Linked DNA regions of Rattus norvegicus. The protein of the gene in region 1 interacts with the protein of each later gene in a biochemical or structural test. Links are inferred from orthologs where the notes say so. Each region holds a gene or a part of one and is shown on either strand. Other genes may lie near its edges.

The links.
Region 2: the proteins of Ston2 (region 1) and Syt1 form a complex in vitro, tested with the Homo sapiens proteins (2 studies listed by BioGRID). The link is inferred for Rattus norvegicus from reciprocal best matches to the Homo sapiens genes STON2 and SYT1.

Annotation. Positions count from the first base shown.
Region 1 is NC_086024.1:116,295,956-116,306,494, reverse strand, and holds the end of Ston2 (stonin-2), read left to right. Parts: intron 1-6,039; coding exon 6,040-6,242; intron 6,243-7,839; coding exon 7,840-7,923; 3' UTR 7,924-8,297; downstream 8,298-10,539. UniProt on the Homo sapiens protein: Adapter protein involved in endocytic machinery. Involved in the synaptic vesicle recycling. May facilitate clathrin-coated vesicle uncoating.
Region 2 is NC_086025.1:45,841,146-45,851,684, forward strand, and holds part of Syt1 (synaptotagmin-1), read right to left. Parts: intron 7,143-10,539; coding exon 6,958-7,142; intron 1,361-6,957; coding exon 1,238-1,360; intron 1-1,237. UniProt on the Homo sapiens protein: Calcium sensor that participates in triggering neurotransmitter release at the synapse. May have a regulatory role in the membrane interactions during trafficking of synaptic vesicles at the active zone of the synapse.

The DNA.
Region 1 (10,539 bases):
TGCGTGTGAGTGTGAATGTGTGAGAGTGTTGTGTAAGTGTATGTGTGGGTGTGGGTGTGAGTGTGTGTGCAAATGTGTGTATGTGTGTGTGAGTGTGTGAGAGTGTTGTGTGTATATGTGTGTGTGAGTGTGTGAGAGTGTTGTGTGTGTATGTGTGTGTGAGTGTGTGAGTGTGAGTGTGTGAGTGTTGTGTAAGTGTGTATGTGTGTGAGAGAGTATGTGTGTAAGTGTGTGTGAGAGTGTGTGTGTAAGTGTGTGTGAGAGTGTGTGAGAGTGTTGTGTGTGTGCAAATGTGTGTGAGTGTGTGAGAGTGTTGCGTGTGTATGTGTGAGTGTGTGAGTGTGAGTGTGTGAGAGTGTTCTGTAAGTGTGTGTGAGTGTGTGTGCAAATGTGTGTATGTGTGTGTGAGTGTGTGAGTGTTGTGTGTGAGTGTGTGTGAGAGTGTTATGTGTGTGTGAGTGTGTGAGAGTGTTGTGTGTGTGTGAGTGTGTGTGTAAGTGTGTAAGAGAGTGTGTGTGAGTGTGTGAGTGTGAATGTGTGAGAGTGTTATGTAAGTGTATATGTGGGTGTGGGTGTGAGTGTGTGTGCAAATGTGTGTATGTGTGTAAGTGTGTGTGTGAGTGTTGTGTGTGTATGTGTGTGAGTGTGTGTGAGAGTGTTATGTGTGTGTGAGTGTGTGAGTGTGTGAGAGTGTTGTGTAAGTGTGTGTGAGTGTGTGTGTAAGTGTGTAAGAGAGTGTGTGTGAGTGTGTGAGTGTGAATGTGTGAGAGTGTTGTGTGAGTGTATATGTGGGTGTGGGTGTGAGTGTGTGTGTGCAAATGTGTGTGAGTGTGTGAGAGTGTTGTGTGTGTATGTGTGTGAGTGTGTGAGTGTGAGTGTGTGAGAGTGTTGTGTAAGTGTGTATGTGTGTGAGAGAGTATGTGTGTAAGTGCGTGTGAGAGTGTGTGTGTAAGTGTGTGTGAGAGTGTGTGTAAGTGTGTGAGTGTGTGAGTGTTGTGTAAGTGTGTGTGTGTGGGTGTGTGTGAGTGTGTGTGCAAATGTGTGTATGTGTGTGAGTGTGTGAGAGTGTTGTGTGTGTATGTGTGTGAGTGTGTGAGAGTGTTGTGTATGTGTGTGTTAGAGTGTGTGTGTGTATGAGAGTGTGTGTGTGAGTGTGTGAGAGTGTTGTGTGTGTGCAAATGTGTGTGTGAGTGTGTGAGAGTGTTGTGTGTGAGTGTGAGTGTGTGAGAGTGTTGTGTAAGTGTGTGTGAGTGTGTGTGCAAATGTGTGTATGTGTGTAAGTGTGTGTGTGAGTGTGTGAGAGTGTTGTGTGTGTATGTGTGTGTGAGTGTGAGAGAGTGTTATGTGTGTGAGTGTGTGTGTGAGTGTGTGAGAGTGTTGTGTGTGTGAGTGTGTGTGTGTGTGTGTGTGTGTGTGTAAGCACATATGTGTAGAGGCCAGAGACTGTCATCAGATGCCATTGGTAGGGTGCTGGCCACCCCGTTTGGGAGAAAGATTCTCTCACTGGCCTGGAACTCCATTTGCCAAGTTCAGCCAGGGTCCCGAGTGATCTGCATGTCTTTGTTTCCCTACCGGTGGTTCATGCGTTCTGTTGTTTTAATTATTTTACTATTTTATGTATGGCCTTTTGGGCCGCACATATGTCTGTGCACCCTATGCATGCACTGCCCTCAGAGGCCACAAGAAGGTTTCAGATCCCATAGAACTGAAATTACAGAGGTTTGTGCCTTACCATGCAGTTGGTAAGAATAAAACTCAGGTTCCCTGCAGGAGCAGCCAGTGCACTCAGCCTCTGGGCCTTGTCTCCAGCCCACCCCAGCCACGGGACTATCTGCAGACCCCCCACACCTGCCTCTTTTACCTGACACCAAATCCAGGTCCCTGTGTACACATTTTACTTGTTCAACCATCAACAAGTTCTGTTGAAGTGTTTTTCCTTCTGGAACCCATTGAAGTATTAGGACTAGGAGCAAGTATTAGTATTAGTGCCAGAAGCAGTTCATTCCCAGGTCCCAGAACATGTGGGTTCTGAAGAGGAATCCTTCCAACGACAATCCCCTTGATGAAGGTGAAAGAGTCAGTGTACATCCAGGCATAGGCACAGTCTGTGTGAGAGCTGCGCCTTCCGCAACGAGCCACTGTTGGTCATGGTGTATTAGACCCAGAGTTTGGTTTTGGGACTCGTGATGGAAAAGAGATTAAGTAGCCAGGATACCAGGGTCCAAAGGGCTGAAGTTCCAGCAGACAGAAAAATAAAGAGTGTTTGATTTGAACAAACAAACTTCCCAGCCTAGCTGTCCTGCTCACAGCCAGCGGCTTCGCTACTGTGTCTGGGAAAGCCCAGGAGGCAGTTACTAGCAAAACTTCTTGACTGAGAAAGCAAGACCATGCTAACGGCTTTATTTCTGGAGTATGTCGACGTGACCTCAGTGGCCCGCAAAGAGCCTGTGATCCCACAAGCCCTTAAACCACTTCTCTTGTCTGCAATAAAGCGTGCCCATCTGTTAAGGAAAGTGGATTAGCTAGTCAGAGGAAAATCGCACCGCTGCTTTCTTATGGTACCTCTGCTAAACTATTACAGTGCGTCCAGGGTATGCTGCTACAAGTGTGGATTTGGTTGCGTTATCATATCTCAAATGGAATTCGATGAGATAGACAGAGGAACTGCGGCTGCCCGGGAGAAGGCAAACACCGGCCTTCTGTGTCAGACACTGGGTGCGGCAATGCAAGCTGAGGAGACAATCAGACCTCTGTGCTGGAGGCTGGGGCGGCCACCCTCCGCTCCTACGCTGGGTTTTAAAACAGTCTTCAGCCCTGTGCTGGCTGTCTCCTCTCTCCCCTGCTCAGCACTGGGTTCTTCTCCCGGGGCTTATGTGCTGGCTGCCTCAGTCACTGGGGCCCATCTCGCTTGACAGTGGAAACGAGAAGCCCTGAGTTCTCCTGTGGCACAAAAGCCCCGGGGAAGAGAGAACTGTGTGTGAAAGGACTGGGCTTTCAAGCTTGGGACCTCAGAGGAGAGGCTAAGATCTGACAGGTGACATTACTCACCTGAAATCACAAAAAACACACACAAGGGTCTCTTCTTCATACCACAGCTCCTCTTTATACATGAGCAGAATACGTACACGCCTCAAATAATCTACACCCTGGAAACACAGATGTGTAGTTTCTCAATGTGTGCAAATAATATCAAAGTGACTTAAAATACTCAAAAGTACTGCGAGGAGGATTTTAGTCAAGGCTGACCTTAAATGGGTAGGAGTAGAGGCCTTCGGTATGAGTAGATCATTGAAATGAGGAAAGGTTAAACATCAGACATCAGAAAAGAAAGCTCTGAAGCAGCCCTAGTCACAGAAACTAATGGTCATCTCCTCAGTACAGCCATGGAGACAATTTTTGTGTCAGTCATTTTTGGTCCGTGGGCAACTTGGCTCAAGTTGACAAGTGACCAGAGCAATCAAGATGGCAGATAGTGCCGGAGAGGTTTATTGTCCTAAAGGAGAGAGAAAAAAGGATTGCCACCAGAAGAAACAGACCATGGGCAGAGGGCAGAGAGACAGCAAACAGATGTTCAGCAAATAGTTCTTTAATGCTCAGTAGGCTGAAGCCAAGTGACGGGCTGCTTGTGTATTACACTCGTTATTAGTTTATTAGAATTTCTTCAGGGAGGTCGGGACGGGGTTTCTCTGTGCAGCCCTGGTTATCCTGGAACTCTGTAGACCAGGCTGGTCTCAAACTCAGAAATGCCCCTGTCTCTGCCTCCCAAGTGCTGGAATTAAAGATGTGCCAGCTGTTAATTTCTTGCTTGATTAAAGGAGTGAAACTCCACTGTGTAGTAACATCAATCTGATTTTTAATGCTAAGTTTCATCAAGAAAGACCCAATAACGTAAAGATGTTCTTATTATTATAACCATGAATTGAATTATTCAAATTTTAAAATGGTTTAGCCCCACCTGTCCACCACACTTACACATTAAATAGCTGAAGCTAGGAATTCAAGTCAAGATTTGGCTTTCAGAGTTCCCGTGAGTACGCTCTGAGACAGTCAGAGAAGGAAGTCACCTTTTAAACAGAGAAACCACTTCTCAATATTCCAGACAGAAATGTCAGAGAAAGCTGATTAGAAAAAACAAAAACAAATGTTCAAGTCTCTATCTGAGTTAAGAGGCCTTCCACAGTGTAGTGACCACATTCCATAGCAGCTCACCATGTATGTAGGACCTGGTTTGGAGTCAGTGAGATCTGAATTTTATTCTTGGTGCTGCTGCTTAATGGTGGTATGACCCCATGCAATCGACTTAACTATGTCGGAGAAACCTAATTTTTCTCACTTATGAGACAGAGTAATTAGTACCTAGCTCATTCAGAACAAAACTGGGTAATGCTGTTAAATGTGAAGCATAGTTGTAGTATTGGTGACAAACGAGAGCTCTGTGATTAGTCCGTGGCACCCAAAACAATAGATTGAACAGGCGTGTTTTGAGATATCATCAAGTTTGTGTGTGTGTGTGTGTGTGTGTGTGTGTGTGTGTGTGTGTGTGTGTGTGAGAGAGAGAGAGAGAGAGAGAGAATGTGTGTGTGTGAGTGAGAGAGAGAATGTGTGTGTGAGAGAGAGTGTGTGTGTGTGTGATAGAGAGAGAATGTATGTGTGAGAGAGTGTGTGTGTGTGAGTGAGAGTGTGTGTGTGTGAGTGAGAGAGAGTGTGTGTGTGAATGAGAGAGAGTGTGTGTGAGAGAGAATGTGTGTGTGTGAGAGAGAGTGTGAGTGAGAGTATGTGTGTGTGTATGAGAGAGACAGAGTGTGTGTGAGAGAGAAAGTTGTGTGTGTGAGAGAGAATGTGTGTGTGTGTGTGTCAGAGAGAGAGAGAGAGAGAGTGTGTGTGTGTGTGTCAGAGAGAGAGAGAGAGAGAGAGAGAGAGAGAGAGAGAGAGAGTGAGAGTGAGATTTTGGTTCCTTTCCTAAAAGTCAGTGCAAATTTTTCAGTTAAATATCCTAGCCTTATTCTTTAGAAATAACCATTAAATTGTGCTACATCTGTGAAAAACAAATGCCTCACTCTGGAGTGATTTCCTCGGAGAGAGGGTGTGTGTCTCCTGATTCTCCGAGATGGGAAAATCCTGCCCAGAGCAATAAAGGAAATTGAAATTGTTGACTCTGAGAGGCAGGAAAGAGTTACACCGTCGGTCAAAGCCGCATCACAGTTTATCCGTAGTCATTGTGCATGTCTCATCTCCACACTGCCATCCTGCAACCTGGTCTCCATGTTTGGGGACCATGAAATTATGACTCAGACAAAGGGGTCCACAGTCCCAGCTGTAAGACTTTTTGCTGTGACCCGTGGCGGCTTGCTTTATGCACAGAACCCTCAGCCAGATGAGAGCATTGGTCCAGTGCACTGTGTCCCCCAGTTTCATGTGTGCTGTCTATAAATCCGTCACTTTCATATGTCACCCACCCACAGAAACATGCCCGAGGCACCTCGGAAAATATAAAATGCTATTAGGGGAATTCATCTTTTACAGGAAAGCAGTTTGCTGCAGGCGGCTGTCACCCATGTTTTATTAGGTGCCAAGTGCTAATCTAATCTCAGCTGCTCCTTCTTCCGCTGTCAAGCCTCTCTCTCAGTGTTCCTGCTGTCTGCACAGCTCTGGGACCTAAACAGTCAGAAAAACACTGTGGGTTTTGTTTTCCATTTGTTTTTTTGTTTGCTTTCACTTTTCGTTGTGAGCTGCCTTGTGGGTGCTGAGAACCGAAACTAGGTCCCCTGGGAAGACCAGCCATTGTTCTTAACCATTGAGCCATCTGTCCAGCCTCCACAGGCTGGAATTCCAGGCTGTGGTTACCAGGAGGACTGGATGAAAGGGTCCGGGGCACACGGAGCCTGATGTCCGCCCAGGGGAAGTTTATCACTGGACCCTCAGCGAGCAGGTGCAGCGCCGGCAGCCCTCCATTATTACCAGCGGGGCTCTTTAGCCTCCTTTCCTTTTTAATTTTTTCCTTAGAGAACTCAACCTCTGGATACTTTCTTTCTATTACAGCTTCTGGCCACCCACACTGTTTCTTTTGCCACCTTGAACTTGGCTCTGACCGGGAAGTGCCTTCCAGATTTGCCAATCATGTAAACGTCGAGTTCAGCATGCCCACGACGTCTGCCTCCAAAGCAGCTGTGAGATCCATCTCTGTGGAAGACAAGCCCGATGTCAGGAAGTGGGTCAATTATTCCGCACACTACAGCTACAAGGTAGCCTCAGGAGGGCTTCGGGCCCATGTTTCCACATCCGTTTGTTAGCCCCACAGCTTCCCCTCGTGCCTTCCAGCAAATGCTTCTTATATCAAGGCACTTCACATTCATAGCTGTGGATGAATCTGCTTAATGAAATGATCTCTCGTGGGTAAGAAGAGAGGCTAGGCCAAAAAAAAAAAAATTAAGGGGCTGATGAGACATCATGAATAGTAACAAAAAGAACAGTCGGACCAAGTGATACTTGTTCCCGGTCTGTGACAGGGTTCCTGTTTTGGTGTGAGGCACTGTAAGTAAGAGGGCAAACTTAAAAGCCAGCCCTTTCACAGTGACAATGGGATGGGGAACGTGGGAGGTGTCTGCAGTCAAAGCTGGAGAGCTGCTTTTATTGGGGGGAAACGGGGGTGTCTGAAGGCAGGATCCCTCCCTGTAGCTCAGCCCAACTTCAAGTTCTGCTTTCCTGCCTGTGAAGATTATAGGCATATCTCCATGAAGCAAGGGCTTACAACACACCAAAATGATAATTCCCCGCAGAGGTAGCCGTTTGGTAGATCAAGCTCCGAAGAGGGAAGAGAAAGGCATTGGTGAAAGGTTTCGCAAAGTCATTTGATCATTTCCTACATATAATGATTCCCACAGATTTATGTAATTTATTATTCTTTTTAAATATTTTCTTAGTTGTATCATGGAAAACTATTTCTTTAACTACCAAGAAGAACGAATGCCCCATCTTGTGGCCAGGGGAAAACTAGCAGTTCCCCACAACCATGGCTGTAAGCTACCTTCAGTTGTTGCCTCTAAAGGGAGAGGCTTAACATTCCGTGCAGTGATGAGAAGCACTTATGGGACCCCTAAGTGCAAAGGAGTGAGTCCCTTCCCAACTTACCAGAGGCTGTAGTCAGGGTGTGTTACTCTTTAAAAGGATTTTATTTATGTATTGAATGTGTGTGGATATTCTCTCACATGCATGCACAAACAGTGGCGTGCCACCATGTGGGTGCTGGGAATTGAACTCAGGCCCTCCAGAGGAGCATCCAGTGAGTGCTTTTAACCACTGAGCCATCTCTCCAGCCAAAAGAGCAACTTCTGGACAGTATTTTGCAGGAGATAGAATAGAACAATAAACGTTCCAATACGTATTAGTTTAGAGACATTTTTTTTAAATGAAGTAATTGGAGGTGCTTAAGAGGTCAGCTACAAATGGTTCTCTAAACCATTGTCAGTTGCCTACTAGAATCCCACACCATTGGATAAAGTCAGCTAGATCTTGCCCTTATCCCATGAACCTATGGAATAGTGGAGACAGGGACAGTGGATATATTCAGAGGAAACTCGGTCTCCCTCCTGAGTGGGCAGCAAAGGTAATATCTGAGCAAATCTGTGAGACAAAGGATGGATGAGAATTTTCCAGATGGACCATGAAGAAGGGGAATGCCACACCTCCACGGGGATCCTGGGATACTCAGGAGTAGGTGCTCCTCTGTGGCAGATGCCCAGAACATTCACAAAATTCCGGGCAATCCCAAGGGACCTCCGGGGTGCTTCTCCTCTCGCTTCCCCTTAGTCCTGACAGTTTCTTCATCTTTTCTTTTGGCAGGTGGAAATTGAACAAAAAAAGAGTTTGAAGCCAGACTTTGAGGGAGAGGACTTGGAAAACCCAAAGGAATGTGGGGTACAGTGACAGTGACCCACCTCAAGGAACTGAGGACCGCTGACTCGCAACCGGGTGTCTTCCCCGAATAACTCAAGTTTAAGTCGACACCTGCTGCGGCTGCTCCACATTGGGGGCTGCCTACCTCCGTTTCCTGTGTGCACCTACCTGTGGGTCACAGGAAATCCTGAGGGGGGCTGCCTTCAGTAGGCCCCTTGACACTGAGCATGCCCGAAGTACGTGGCACACCTGGCTTCTGGAGTTTACCAAGTATTGAGCCTCCTTGTCTCTTTTCTGCTTGTATCATGGCACTGGTATGTGGTTTGTGGTGACTATTAGAAACCCAGAAAGAACCGCCAGCATCAGTGTTGGCACAATTTGCCCCCAGTACTCACATGTCACTTGTAAAATTCTGGAGAAAATAGCCCTGAAAGTTTATTAAGAATCCATCTCTATTGCTCCCTCTGTACAAGATTCCAGGAAGTTCCAAAGCCATTTCTTTGGGCCTGCTTTTCTAGATATCTCCATGTTTTTAAACATGGGCATTCTGCAACAGAGGTTTCCCAAATGTTTCCCTTCTAGTTCTAGATTGCTCAAGATCAAAACACTCTTTCAACTTCTTCTCCATTTGCTGTCTTAAATATGGTGCATGATGGGAAAGGCTCCATCTGATATTTTCAAATTTAGGTTTGGAGCTTAATTCTACAAATGGACTAAATTGGCTTCACAGTCTGTTAAAAACAAAAAAACAGAACTTATTTTTCTTACCTAAAAGGAACATTAAATGTAAGCTTATATTTAGTTCGGAAGACAGCTTCGATCATAAAATATGCCAGATTCTCACTGGTCAGTTTTAATTCCTGAAACACAGCATGACTGTAATTCCGTGTGCGTAAAAGAGACACTTGGAAGTTCTTTTCATACCTCATACACAATGACTGTTACACATCTCTTCCCTCAAAATTCAGAGGAAACTTAAGCTAAAAAGATCATTGTAAAAGCTGAGTTTGGATGAGCTTTACCCCGAATTCTGAGGTTGGTTAGTTACACTATTGTGAAAGCTCAAAAGGGTGGTGGCGCACACCTTTAATCCCAGCATTTGGAAGGCAGAGGCAAATGGATTCCTGAGTTCAAGGTCAGCCTGGTCTACAGGATGAGTTCCAGGACAGCCAGGGCTGCAGAGAGAAACCCTATCTGGGAAGAAAACAAAAAACAAAAAAACAAAAAACAAACTAAAAAAGGCAGAAGGCTCCAGTGTAGGGCTGGGGAAAGCCGGTCTCCCAGTGTCATGACCATGAAATCCTGATTCCCAGACTCAGGCCAGCATCCCTTTCCTTACATTTCCCACCCTGCCCCCTGCTCCCCCACCCCTGCTTATTTGTACTCTGTTGATTGCTCTCATGAAGAAAAAAGTGAGGGGACTGAGTACATATTTTATCAGACTTGGGGAATATATGGAAATAAGTAGAAAATGCCTGCAGTTTGGGACTAACTGATTCAAGCTTTTTTTTTTTTTTCAGCTCCTATCTAGTGATCTAGGTATTAGAAATCATGGCAGTACTTTGAACCATGTGTTTAACTCTCTAAGCATTAGATTGGAATGAAAAGGACAAGCTACATAGGCCCACATGAGAAGACCTGTATTTTGAGTTTTTCAAATGCAACCCTTTCAGTATAGAGGGGTGTGTGTGTGTGTGTGTGTGTGTGTGTGTGTGTGTGTGTGTGTGTGTGTGTGTTTTGATGAGAACTAGGGAGACTTGATATTAATAGCAGTCCATATAGAAATGTTTTCTTGCTGAGTTCAGTCTTGAACCAGGGATAGATCCACAGCTATTCTCAAGGCTAATTCCTTCTATCTGTGGTGGTAGGTCATTAACAACTGTGCATGATGCACTGGCCTGTGCATGCCTGAATGGAGGGTTACATTCAAGTATGGCTACTGTATTTTAGGGGTGACACTAATAAGTCGACCGTATCCACAAGCAGGTGACCAGGGTTGTGACGATCCTGGTTATATAAGGAACAGGGGGCAGCTCTCCTGCAGAACAGAGGGCATAGCTGGGAAGGGAGTGCAGGGAAGTTGGGAAATGAAAGAACAGCCAATAACCAACTCAAGGTTTCTGCTGCACTAGGGAAAGAAGAGGAGTTAGCATAACCTCAAAGGCAAAAAGAAATAGGAACAGAAGAGAACTTTCCAGATGACAGATGTTTGCTCAGTATAAGAATCTCCTAGGAAAGAAGCGTTCTAAAGTTGAGAGGGTCAAGAAGATTTCCTGCTGCAGCTAGTGCCCAAAAGTCAACAGAGCCACCTATCCCAGGTGCTCCGGAAGGGACTATCACATTGGAGTGGTCAAGATGGCAGGAAAACTCTTATTCAAACAGCCTTGATGGGAATGAGGCTGGCTAGCTCCAGACAGCCTTTCCTCTGTGGGTTTTTTTTTTTTTTTTTTTTTTTTTTTTGTGCTGTTGGAGGGCAGTGGAGCTCTCGAGAAGAACTCAGTCATTGAAGTCCATGTCATTTCCACTGTAAGGCTAACGATCTTGAGAGTGTCAGATGACCAACAGGCTGGGCAGTTGGCAGGATAGGGGAAGGTCTTCCCTGGCTTAGCCCTGTGCCAGGAGCCCTGCCCGGGCTGCTAACATGCA
Region 2 (10,539 bases), on another chromosome or scaffold:
GATAACAGGTACGCAGTGAAAAGCGGCTGCTGTCATTAATCTTACAGCACTTCAGCCCCTTTTGAGAAACAGAGGCAGGGATGACTGTTTTGCAGTCTTTAGTCTTGTCACTTCTGGGTAACCTCCTTAGGCTTTGAGAATCAAGCTGTTCATCTCCCTGCTTTAAAAAGTTGCTATCTCATCATTGCGGAAGTCTCACCTAGACTTCTGGTGTTCCATAGAAGGCATTTCTGCCTTTAAAGGCCCTGGAGCCCAACAGCCAGTGGAAAGAGATGGAGAGTCACCTCAAACAGTAGGTGGAGTTCAGAGTCAGAAGAGTTGAGGAAAAAGATTGAGGGACTAAAAGAGGACAGGCACTCCACAGGAAGACCAACAAGAGTCAACTAACCTGGACTCTTGGGGATGCCAGAGATTGAATCACCACAGGGCGAGCATGGGCTGGACCTAGGCCTCCTGCACATATGTAGCAGATGAACAGCTTGGTCTTCATAACGGGTCCCCAAACAACTAGAACAGGGGTTGTGGGTGAGCCTATTGCCTGCCTACCTGCTTGTGGAACCTGCATCTCTCAATGGACAGCTTTGTCTGGCCTCAATGGGAGAGAATGTGCCGAGTTCCGCAGCAACTTGATGTGTGGGATGGGATGGGGGTGTCTGTGGGGGTTTGACATCCAGAGGGGAGTGATCCTTTCTACAGGAAGTGGGAGGAGGGAGGAGAACTTGTGTAAGGGTGTACTGGGAAGGAAGGAAGGGCTGATATTGGGTTGTAAAATGTATAAACAAACAAACAAACTCATAGAGCACTGGCCAATTTTTAATTCTTTTATGGCTTTTCAAACTAATTTTTCTAAATGTGGGTGTGGGTGGCAGCTGGTGTGGTTTGGAATCTGAATCATACAGTTCAAGGAAGGTTGTTCCTACTCACACTGCGGGACCTATGGCGACTGGTCTGGCTGGGAGCTCTAAGCAACCACTGATGGCTTGGAGTTAATTTGTATTCTGGCTGCCTCCTGTCAGCGCCACGAGTAGATGTAATCGGCTGAATACTGTGAATTCTAATTACCAGAAGTTAAATTAGCAGCTAGGGGACTGCCTGTACTTAGAAATGATTTCATCAATAGCTTTGATAATTGCATTTTCCGCTCACAGCAAACGAAATGTTTTAAGGACTCTCTTGCTTCAGTTCCTACTTGGTAGTGTCAGAAAATGTAATGGAATTAGACGCATTCCCCTCAGACCTGGTTATTCTGGAAGTCATAGTCCAGTGAATATTGGAGCTTTCCCAGTTTCTCCTCTTCCTTGGGCTCTTCCTTTTCTTCTCCATCAGTCAGTCCGGTTTCAGCATCGTCATCCTTAAGGGCCTATGAGGACGAAAAAGAAATCCAAACGAATTTTCACCAAGGCCCAAATCCAACTGGCCATATAGTTAGACCTCCAAGCTGTTTGAAGCAAGCAGGAAGATGCTGGATGTCTATTTGTCTGACACATTCTCATTGGCTGCTAACGCACACGTGTTTTTAATTTCACTTGTGCATGAACCTCCCCCCACCCCCAATCAGCAAGCAGCATGGAAGCAATGGCAGAAGCCCCCTGGTAGTGTAGCAAGCAAAATATGAAATTGTTGCAAGGAAAACGTCAACTTGGTGTTCTCTTGTCTCGGATCGCATTGCCTCTTTTGGTTTTTCTAGTGTGGTGAACATGCTTGTATCCAGGCTGGGTTTCACATTCTCGTAGCTGCAGTGGTGCTCAGCACCATGTAAAACATCCTTGGTGCATGCAGTGGGGAGAGTCACATGGAATGCATGGCCTTCCACTGCCTTATGGCTTCTGTCAAAGATGGCTGAGTGACCCTCGGAAAACCGTAAATTCTTTGTGTTTTCACATCTATGATTGTAACATTTCAGAAGAAAAGGAGAAAACATGCCAGCAGTGAATGCTGTTTAGAGAGAAGTTCAGTCCATTTCCAGCTGAACTTTACCATTTTATTTTCATAACAGCTCCTCAGAAAGCTAGGCTGAATTAAACTGATTTGACTTTACTTAATATCAAAGACAGAAGAGTCATGTTTGTCATTTTGGAAAACCTTATATTGGTATAAAGTTCATTTTGCATTGAACAACAAGGGCCATGGTGCTAGACTTAGAAAACCTATACAATTATATATTTTTCAATCTAAAAGATAGAACATAAAATAAAGTATTTGAAAGGTCATTATGTCATAAAATATGTACAATTTCTGTATTTCAAAAAAATGAAAAGGATATAATATTTTCCTAAAATGTAAAAATTGTGCTGGGTATTTCTACTACAAGGGTTTATGCTCCTGGAAGATTTCTTCATGGGGCTGTATAGATAAACTTGTATACTCTATGCAATGCCATTCTTCACAATCGAAAATTATGAAAAGTTCCACCTCCCTGTTCACTAGTATGTTTGAAAAATTGAAACATTTAAAGGTATCTGACTAGCACTCACATATTTTGTTCTGCTTTGTGGGTTTTTATTTTTACATTGCTTGTGTTTTTAATGGAGCGAGTGTTATCTGCTTCCATCAAGCCATCACGTATTTGTTGTGTCTGCTACTGCAGAATCTCACAGGACGAGAAATAGAGCCGACAAGCAGTGAGCTGCACTCTATTTCGTCAGCGTTAGTGACTCTCTACTGTTGTCTAACTAGCATCAGCTCTGGAGCTGGCCTTCAGAATGCTTACAGAATTCAAATATGAGAGGTTTAGCCAGGCTGCAAAGGTCCCAGGGCCAATGGACCCTGGTTCACCATCTTGCTGTTCCTGTCTGTCTGTCCACATAGATGTTCCCTCTGCTGTCTCTCTTCTCAGTGGAGCCTCCTTCACTCCCTCATCACTTGCATGGCGAGCTCTTGTGCTGCTTGAAATAGCAAGCTCTGTCTTCCAGTCTCGCTCCTTTCAGCTAACCCCACAACGATCCCCCATCTGCAGGGAGGCTGACATAGCTCATTAGTTCTGCTCTCTGCTTAGAAGAGCGTCTGAACAGAGGTGAGCTGTCGTCACGCGTGTGTCATCCTTTGTGCCTTTTGACACATCTCAGGAGTCTACAACGAGTCTGAGAAATTGAAATTACCATTTTCAAATGTGGCTAGCCCTATACTATTGAATTTGGAAAGATTAATTTATACTTGGGAACTTCCTTGAATATTAAAGTAATTTTGTAAGGGGCCAAAGCATGAAGCAGCACAGTTATTGATAAGCAGCACAGTTATTGATAAACTGCGTTAATATGGCTGAGTCTGACTAGAACACTCTAGATAGTGGCCTCCATTTGTCCCTGAGAACCCTAGCTATGTCCAGTCTTTAGCACTGCTTTAGAGGATGTGGATAAAGAGATTATGGTTTGGGTAGTTCACCTCCTTTTAATATTTTGATTTAAAAAAAAAAGAATGGAAAATTCCTAAATGACCCACTGACTGAAAATACTGATGGGTCACCCCATTCTCTCAAAAAAAAAATCACAAATTTAAATACTTTTCCAAAAGTCCCCTTTCAGAATCGACAATTTATACATCATGTTTCAGCCAAATGAAATTTGAAATAGCTGAGATATTAAATCTCTTCTTTCCTATGTGGTTTTTGCCAGAAGAGAAAGTGCAGGATCATCTCTGCAACTATTTTTCATTAAATTTTTGATATTTTTTTTGGTGCTCCTGTTCACCACCAAAGTGAAGTTAATTCCTGTCTTAGAGGTCGAGCTTCATTAACATGTACACTGTGCATTACATTAAATTCAGACCTATTAAATCAGTAGTATTATAATATGTTGAGAGCAATATTTTTCCCTCCATAGGGAAAAACAAACAAACAAACAAACAAACAAAAAAACCCACCTGAGATGAAAAAGCCTGTAAGCCCAGCATCTCTGAAGCCAGGCAGATTGTAACAGGAAAGCTTTGTTGAGAACATCAGGGTTTTATAAAGTTTACAGGCTTAGAGGGGCATGCATGTGGCTTGCTTTGGCGTTCAATATTTACCTACTCCACAGTCATCAGTAAACGTATTTCCTCATTCTAAGTTACATTGTTCAGACAGGATTTGCTAAGGGACATTAAAAGGCGCCATAAGGACTGCATTTTCTTTCCTATCTATTAATGTAAAACCTTTGAATCCTGTTCTATTTAGCCCATGTTAGTCATGTTTAAAATGAAACACATCATCGTGGAAGATCAGTTGAGTTCAGCCTTTTGATGTCAGAATGGTAAGCCACCCGCTGTGGAGCCCAGCCACCAGCATTGATTGGGGTATCTAGTAGCAGAAGAAACCTACCGCAAGGGACAATCCAGAACAGTCATGAGACACAACACAGATAAGGGGGACATAGAAGGAAGAAATAAAAATTAAAATATCCACACACATCAGTGAAAACCATGGAGAAATGACCTGTCTAAGCTTCTTACTTACAAGTTGCCATCATCTCCCCTTCATGGCTAGTCATTTAAAGACTCAAGGTGTTATAAAAAACCCCAATACACGGATCTTTTGGAATACAAATATGCTCTATCTAGAGTTTACTTTTGAAGTCATTATTGAATTTTAAAAAAATTATTTTTTGGTTACGAAATCTTAATATAGATACATAGCCATGAGCGTTGAAATTTGAATTTCTGGGAGTTTGGAATGTTCTGAAGTAATAAAAACATATTGATTGCCCTCAAGCCTATATAGCCTCAGGAGTTCCATCTAAAACTTGTTTTTCCCTGTCCTGTCCTTCACTGAGAGAGTCATACACTGTTCTTATCTCCTTCCCTATGTTCCCTGAGATATGCTACTTAAAATATTTCGGAAGCACAGTGTTTAAAAATGAATTTAATCTGTATAATTTTGAGAACTATGGGACACAATGTGACATGTCATTCTTCTAAAACTTTTTTCATCTTTAGCCTTCATATTCATAGGCTGTTAGCTATTTTTGTAAGGATTGGTAGAAACATATACTATTATTATATAATTATCATGAAACATAATTTCACCTATTCCAATTATATTTTATTCTATACATTGAAGATTAAGACAATTATACCTAGCTAAAAGCCCTGAGTACATGACATTGTTGACTTACATTAATTAAAACCAAAAGTGGTTGAAATTCTAGATGCTTTGCTATATCAAGGAAGTAATTATAGACTATCACTGGCCTTTTCTACTAGTTCATGACTTGATTCCTATTCCTCTGCTCCAACCCATTGGAAGGAGCAGGAGAGATGGGAAGTCACCATCAATCTCTATGTGAGATCCAGGTCATTTATCCATGGTGTAATGGGGATATCAGCTCTATGCCATCAACTGTAGTGTTACATCATACAGAACAAATCCACAAATGAAAATATAACACTCTTATCCTGGAAAGAAGCACTTTAGTTACCACCTAAAAAGTAATCAATGCTTTTACGTGTTCACTTCAGGACACGAGAAAATCACAATAGAATTTTATAATAATTATGAAAGCGATAGCATTGTCTATTCAAAGTTTTCTTTTCAAAGATATTGCTAAAATAGCATTTTCTAGTCTGTATTTACCAAGGTAAATTATTTCTATAATCATAAAAAAAATATGATTCTGTCTTTAAAAAACTAAAATAAAAACTAAATAGATAAAGAAGGAAGAAATGTCAGTATTAAATTCTACTTGCTATAAGCCAAAATTTGAGTATCTACTTAACAAATTAAATGAAGGGGAAAATCCTTCTTAGTTATCTGTAGTTGTTCATGAGGTTCTGTGACTGATGAGAAACTGCCAGAGAAATTGAATCTTTGTTACCCTGAGCTCAGACCAAAGGTCTCTGAGCAGGAGAATAGACTTTCATCCACTCTACAGCTCTGAAATCAAGCTGAACTGCAGGGAATGGGACGTGGACTGTGTCTGTCCATAGACACTGCATGGTCTTTGAGAAGGAGTTTAACACTCACACTGGGAAGGAGGGTTAGAATATGAGAGTCCATGTGTGGAAACCCAGGACGCTCTACATGTGTGCTATGAGGCTATGGTAAGCCCTGGTCAAACTGCTCTTAGATGCATGTGTTAACGATTCAGCTAACAGTAATTAATACCACAAAACAATCAGCAAAACTGCCTCCACAACTTCCTATTTGGACATTAATAGAACATTTAAATTATCTGATAGAAAACAATGCTTCCAAATTATTTCGATGAAAAATCTTTACACTCTCATTTCATATGAATTAAATTTTATTTAGAAACATTTATTGTAAGTACTATTCAAAAACTGAAGAAGCATTAAATACTTTTTATTAAACTTGACCTTAACTAAGTTGTCCAGTTAACGTAGTTAAAAATCGGCAGCAATGCCAGGGAAACCAAACATCATCTCTATGCATGGGAAGGCACTCAGGTACATAGTTTATCAACATATGGGTTCTAATTGTGATCATTAATTGAGGAAATATAATTTTGTCTTTCAACTCGGTTTTGTTCTTTAGGACTGGATCCTATCTCCCCTCACCAGATATAACTTATTATCTCCGGCATGTGAGGGCTGAGCTGGCCGGGTGCATAGCATGTTGGCATTTACCAAATAGGAGGAAGATCTTTAGCAGAGACTTAGAGCAGTGCCTGAGGCAGAAAGAGCCTCCGTCCAAGGCAGAAAGCACTCAGATAGGATTGGCTGATGATGGAACAAAAATGTTCAGGAATTGTCTTATTGTGCTAGGCCCATGAAGCCACACCTCGTGGTGTGAAGCCTCTCCTGGTATATGTGTGTCATCAGGTGAGAAAAATACCACTGTGTCTGTCTCCACTCCACTCTACTTTGGGAGACCGAGTAACACCTGAAAGGACTGCCAAGCATCTCTATACAAACAACAGTAGCCTCAAGTTGTCTATGTCTATGAGCATCTGCAGAAAAGAGCACAACCCCACTGCGCATTCTCGGGGGCATCTGTGAACAGGCACGAGGGGGCGAGTGCATTACCTGATCCTTCATGGTCTTCCCTAAGTCTTTCACGTCTTTCATGTTAATGGCGTTCTTTCCTCCCTTTTCCTTCCCCTTCTTCTTGTTTTTCTTTTTGAACAAACATTTCTTACAGACACAAAAGCAGCAGGTTACGACTAAAAGGACCGCAACTATGGCTATGGCTATTAAGGCCCACGGTGGCACTGGAAGAGAGAGAGAGAGACAGAAAAGGAACATCAGCAGTGGAACCAGTTAGCCAAGCACAGTGAAGACCCCAGGCCTGTGGCTGGATTTCCCCAGCTCTTGTTTTGCCCCAGTGGTGCTGTTCTGTAGGTTTTATCTGTGCTGCAGCCTGGCCTGGACTCTTCCTCTTCCTCTACATATATTGCACGTTGCCTTTCCCATATGCTTCAAGCTAATTTCCCATTCACTCTTCATTTATTCAGAGCATCTTGTACAAACCCCCTCTCTGCTTTAGCTTCCTCATCTATTCAGTAGAGGAAAAATTAGCAAGTAGTTTGGTGAGTCTTACAAGAATTATTGAGATGCAGTGGCTAGCATGAAAGCTTAACTAATGTTCACTGGAATGCTTCCTTATTGATAACATTATAGTTGTTAATATATTCTGGCATGGTAGAATGTGCAGATATTAACCACACGAATAAAAGCCAATTGTAAAAATTACAACCATGTTGAAGGCAAGCAGTAAGTATACTTGGTGCCTTGAGAAAAGATCATGGAGAGGGTTTGGCCAGGCAGAGGCTGTATGACTACTCCCTGATTGCTTAATGTGATTTCTGTTTATTTCTCTATCAAGTGGAGAATATACTGTCTGATTAAAATTAATAGACTGAAAAAAATCCTAAGAATGGCACCCAGAACACACCAGGAACTCAAGTACTGGTAGCTATCATTTCTTTTTGTATTTAACGCATAGGATCCAGGGACTTCAAGAATCTTTAAGGAGACACAAGATTTTTGAAGAGAGATATCGAAAGAAAGGTGGACACCCTGAAGCAGTGAGAACACAAAGAGAATGGAGAAGAGGAAGTGATGAGTTTTGGGTGATAGAGGAGGTAGATTTTTAGGCTCTGTTTAACATAACAGAGTAGATACCACACACATACACATACTCACACACACACATACACACACATACACACACACACATACATACACACATACACACATACATACACATACATACACACATACACACACATACATACACATACACACATACATACATACACACATACATACACACACATAACACACACATACATACACATATACACACACATAACACACACATACATACACACATACTCTCACACACACACATACTCACACACACATACACACACATATACGCACACACATACACACACATACATACACACATACATACATACACACACATACATACACACACATAACACACACATACATACACATATACACACACATAACACACATACATACACACATACTCTCACACACACACATACTCACACACACACATACACACACATATACGCACACACATACACACACATACACACATACATACACACACATACACATACATATACACACATACATACATACACACACAGACATACACATACACACATATACACACATACATACACACACATACATACACACACACACAGAGTTTTCTGTTGTAGTTGTCCAACTGCTATGAGTTAAAACGTCCCCTTATTTAGCATCTGTGTACAACGTGCTTATAAAAAGCTAAGTTCCACGGGTGCGTTTGAGATTTAACTTTGACTGGAAAGGAATTATTCATGATTCAAATCACAGCTCTTCAGATTCATCAGAAGTAATTAGATTTGTCTGTTCTAATAAGAAAAAAACATTGGGCACTGAAATACTAAGAAAAAGCCTAATTTTCTTTGAGCCGCATAAACATCATTAGTGCCAATGATGGTCGAACACAAGTCAGGAGTACTCTGATAAAGTAAAAACACTTAAAATTAACCTCTCTTCAAACCAGAAAATCTGCTCTTGTGTGCTCTCTCTGCGTTGAGCTTTGTGGTGAAGAACATCCACTCTGCATATTATTAGATACTAGATAAGAACCTAAAGACGTATAAAATTACCACTTTTGATACCATGTTTATAGCCACAGAAGTACTTGTGGGAATGGTAGCGATAAGTACACACCCTACAACGTGTTTTTCTTATGTCCGTGAATCTATTTGAACAACCCGTGCCTTTTTTTAAAACGTGGAAATCAATGCGAGCTCACACGACCAATGATATTATTCCCAAGCCTTCACTTAGCTGACTCTACCCCTGATGACTGAGTTAAAATCCTGCCATGTGTGAACAGGGGTGGGGCGGGGAGGTGGGGGAGGTGCTGTGTGCTCACTGCAGGCAAGACAGTGTTAATAATGGCCCTGCGTTCTAAATCTCAGAAACTATTCTCCCAGTCAGATTTTTGTGTTAGTCTCTCAGAGAGCTACATAAAGGCCTCTTAAACTACAAAAGAAAAGACTGAGATGATTGGACAAGTTCACACAAAGAAAATAGGCGGTAAGAGCAGAGGAACATTATTTAATCAAAAACGGTTAAAGAGAGGGAAGATGGGTTTGCAGGAAGGTGATTTCAAACCACTGGAAAAGTTTCATTTTGTGACCTTTGTTTCTTAAGGTGTTTCTAATGGAAGTCTGCTTTTCAGTTGATCTGGAGTGCAGGCTAATTTTAATCTTATATATAATTATTAGAGTTTTCCTCAGGTTTACTAATACCTTCGGATGGAATTAAAAAACCCTTACTCTAGTTAATTTGTACATCCATGAAGAAGTCAACAATAATGTAAAGGAAATAGCTTCTTTTAATGGATAAAATTATCTGAACACAGTGTGTCCATGAGCAGTTCGCTCAGTTCAGTTTTATTGTGGCGAGCCAATCTCACAGAATCCAGTTTGGACTGTTGGAAGCTGCCTCTGAGGGCCTAACCACTGAGATGAGTTTAGCGTTTCTTTTAATCTTCACAGCAATTTTGTTCATTATCACTTTGGTTTTACAAAGCAAAACCTAACAGACTGAGCATCGCGAGGAATTTCAATGTCTCTAGGTTGTTCGGCTAAAAAAGTGTGTAACTAAAAGAAGCATACGAAGGAAAAAGTCACGTCTGGGTTTGAGGCTTTTTTAGGTAGGGCATTTTAAATGGAAGAAAAATCCAATAAAGCAAACAAACAACTGTCTAAAATGTGGCCAGGAGCAATGTCCTTGGTATGAATCCGTGTCCATCAAAACATCGCTTGCTGGCACAGTATTCAGATGCCGCTTCTCACTATCAACCACCGACACGTGAGATTTCAAATCAGAATTTTAACATTCAACTTAAAGGCTTCCAGCAAAAAGTAATAAACAAGGGTGAAAACCCTGAAAATATTATTTTTAATTTTCTAGTTAATGAGCTATTTTTCCTGTATTTCTTGAACCAAAGGCAAATAGATACATAAGGATTAAGCCAAAGGAAACTTTTTTTTTTATATGATAGTTTAAGTTAGACTGGTGGTAGGCAGACAAAAGTCCTTTATGATTTACACATCCTGCTTCGTG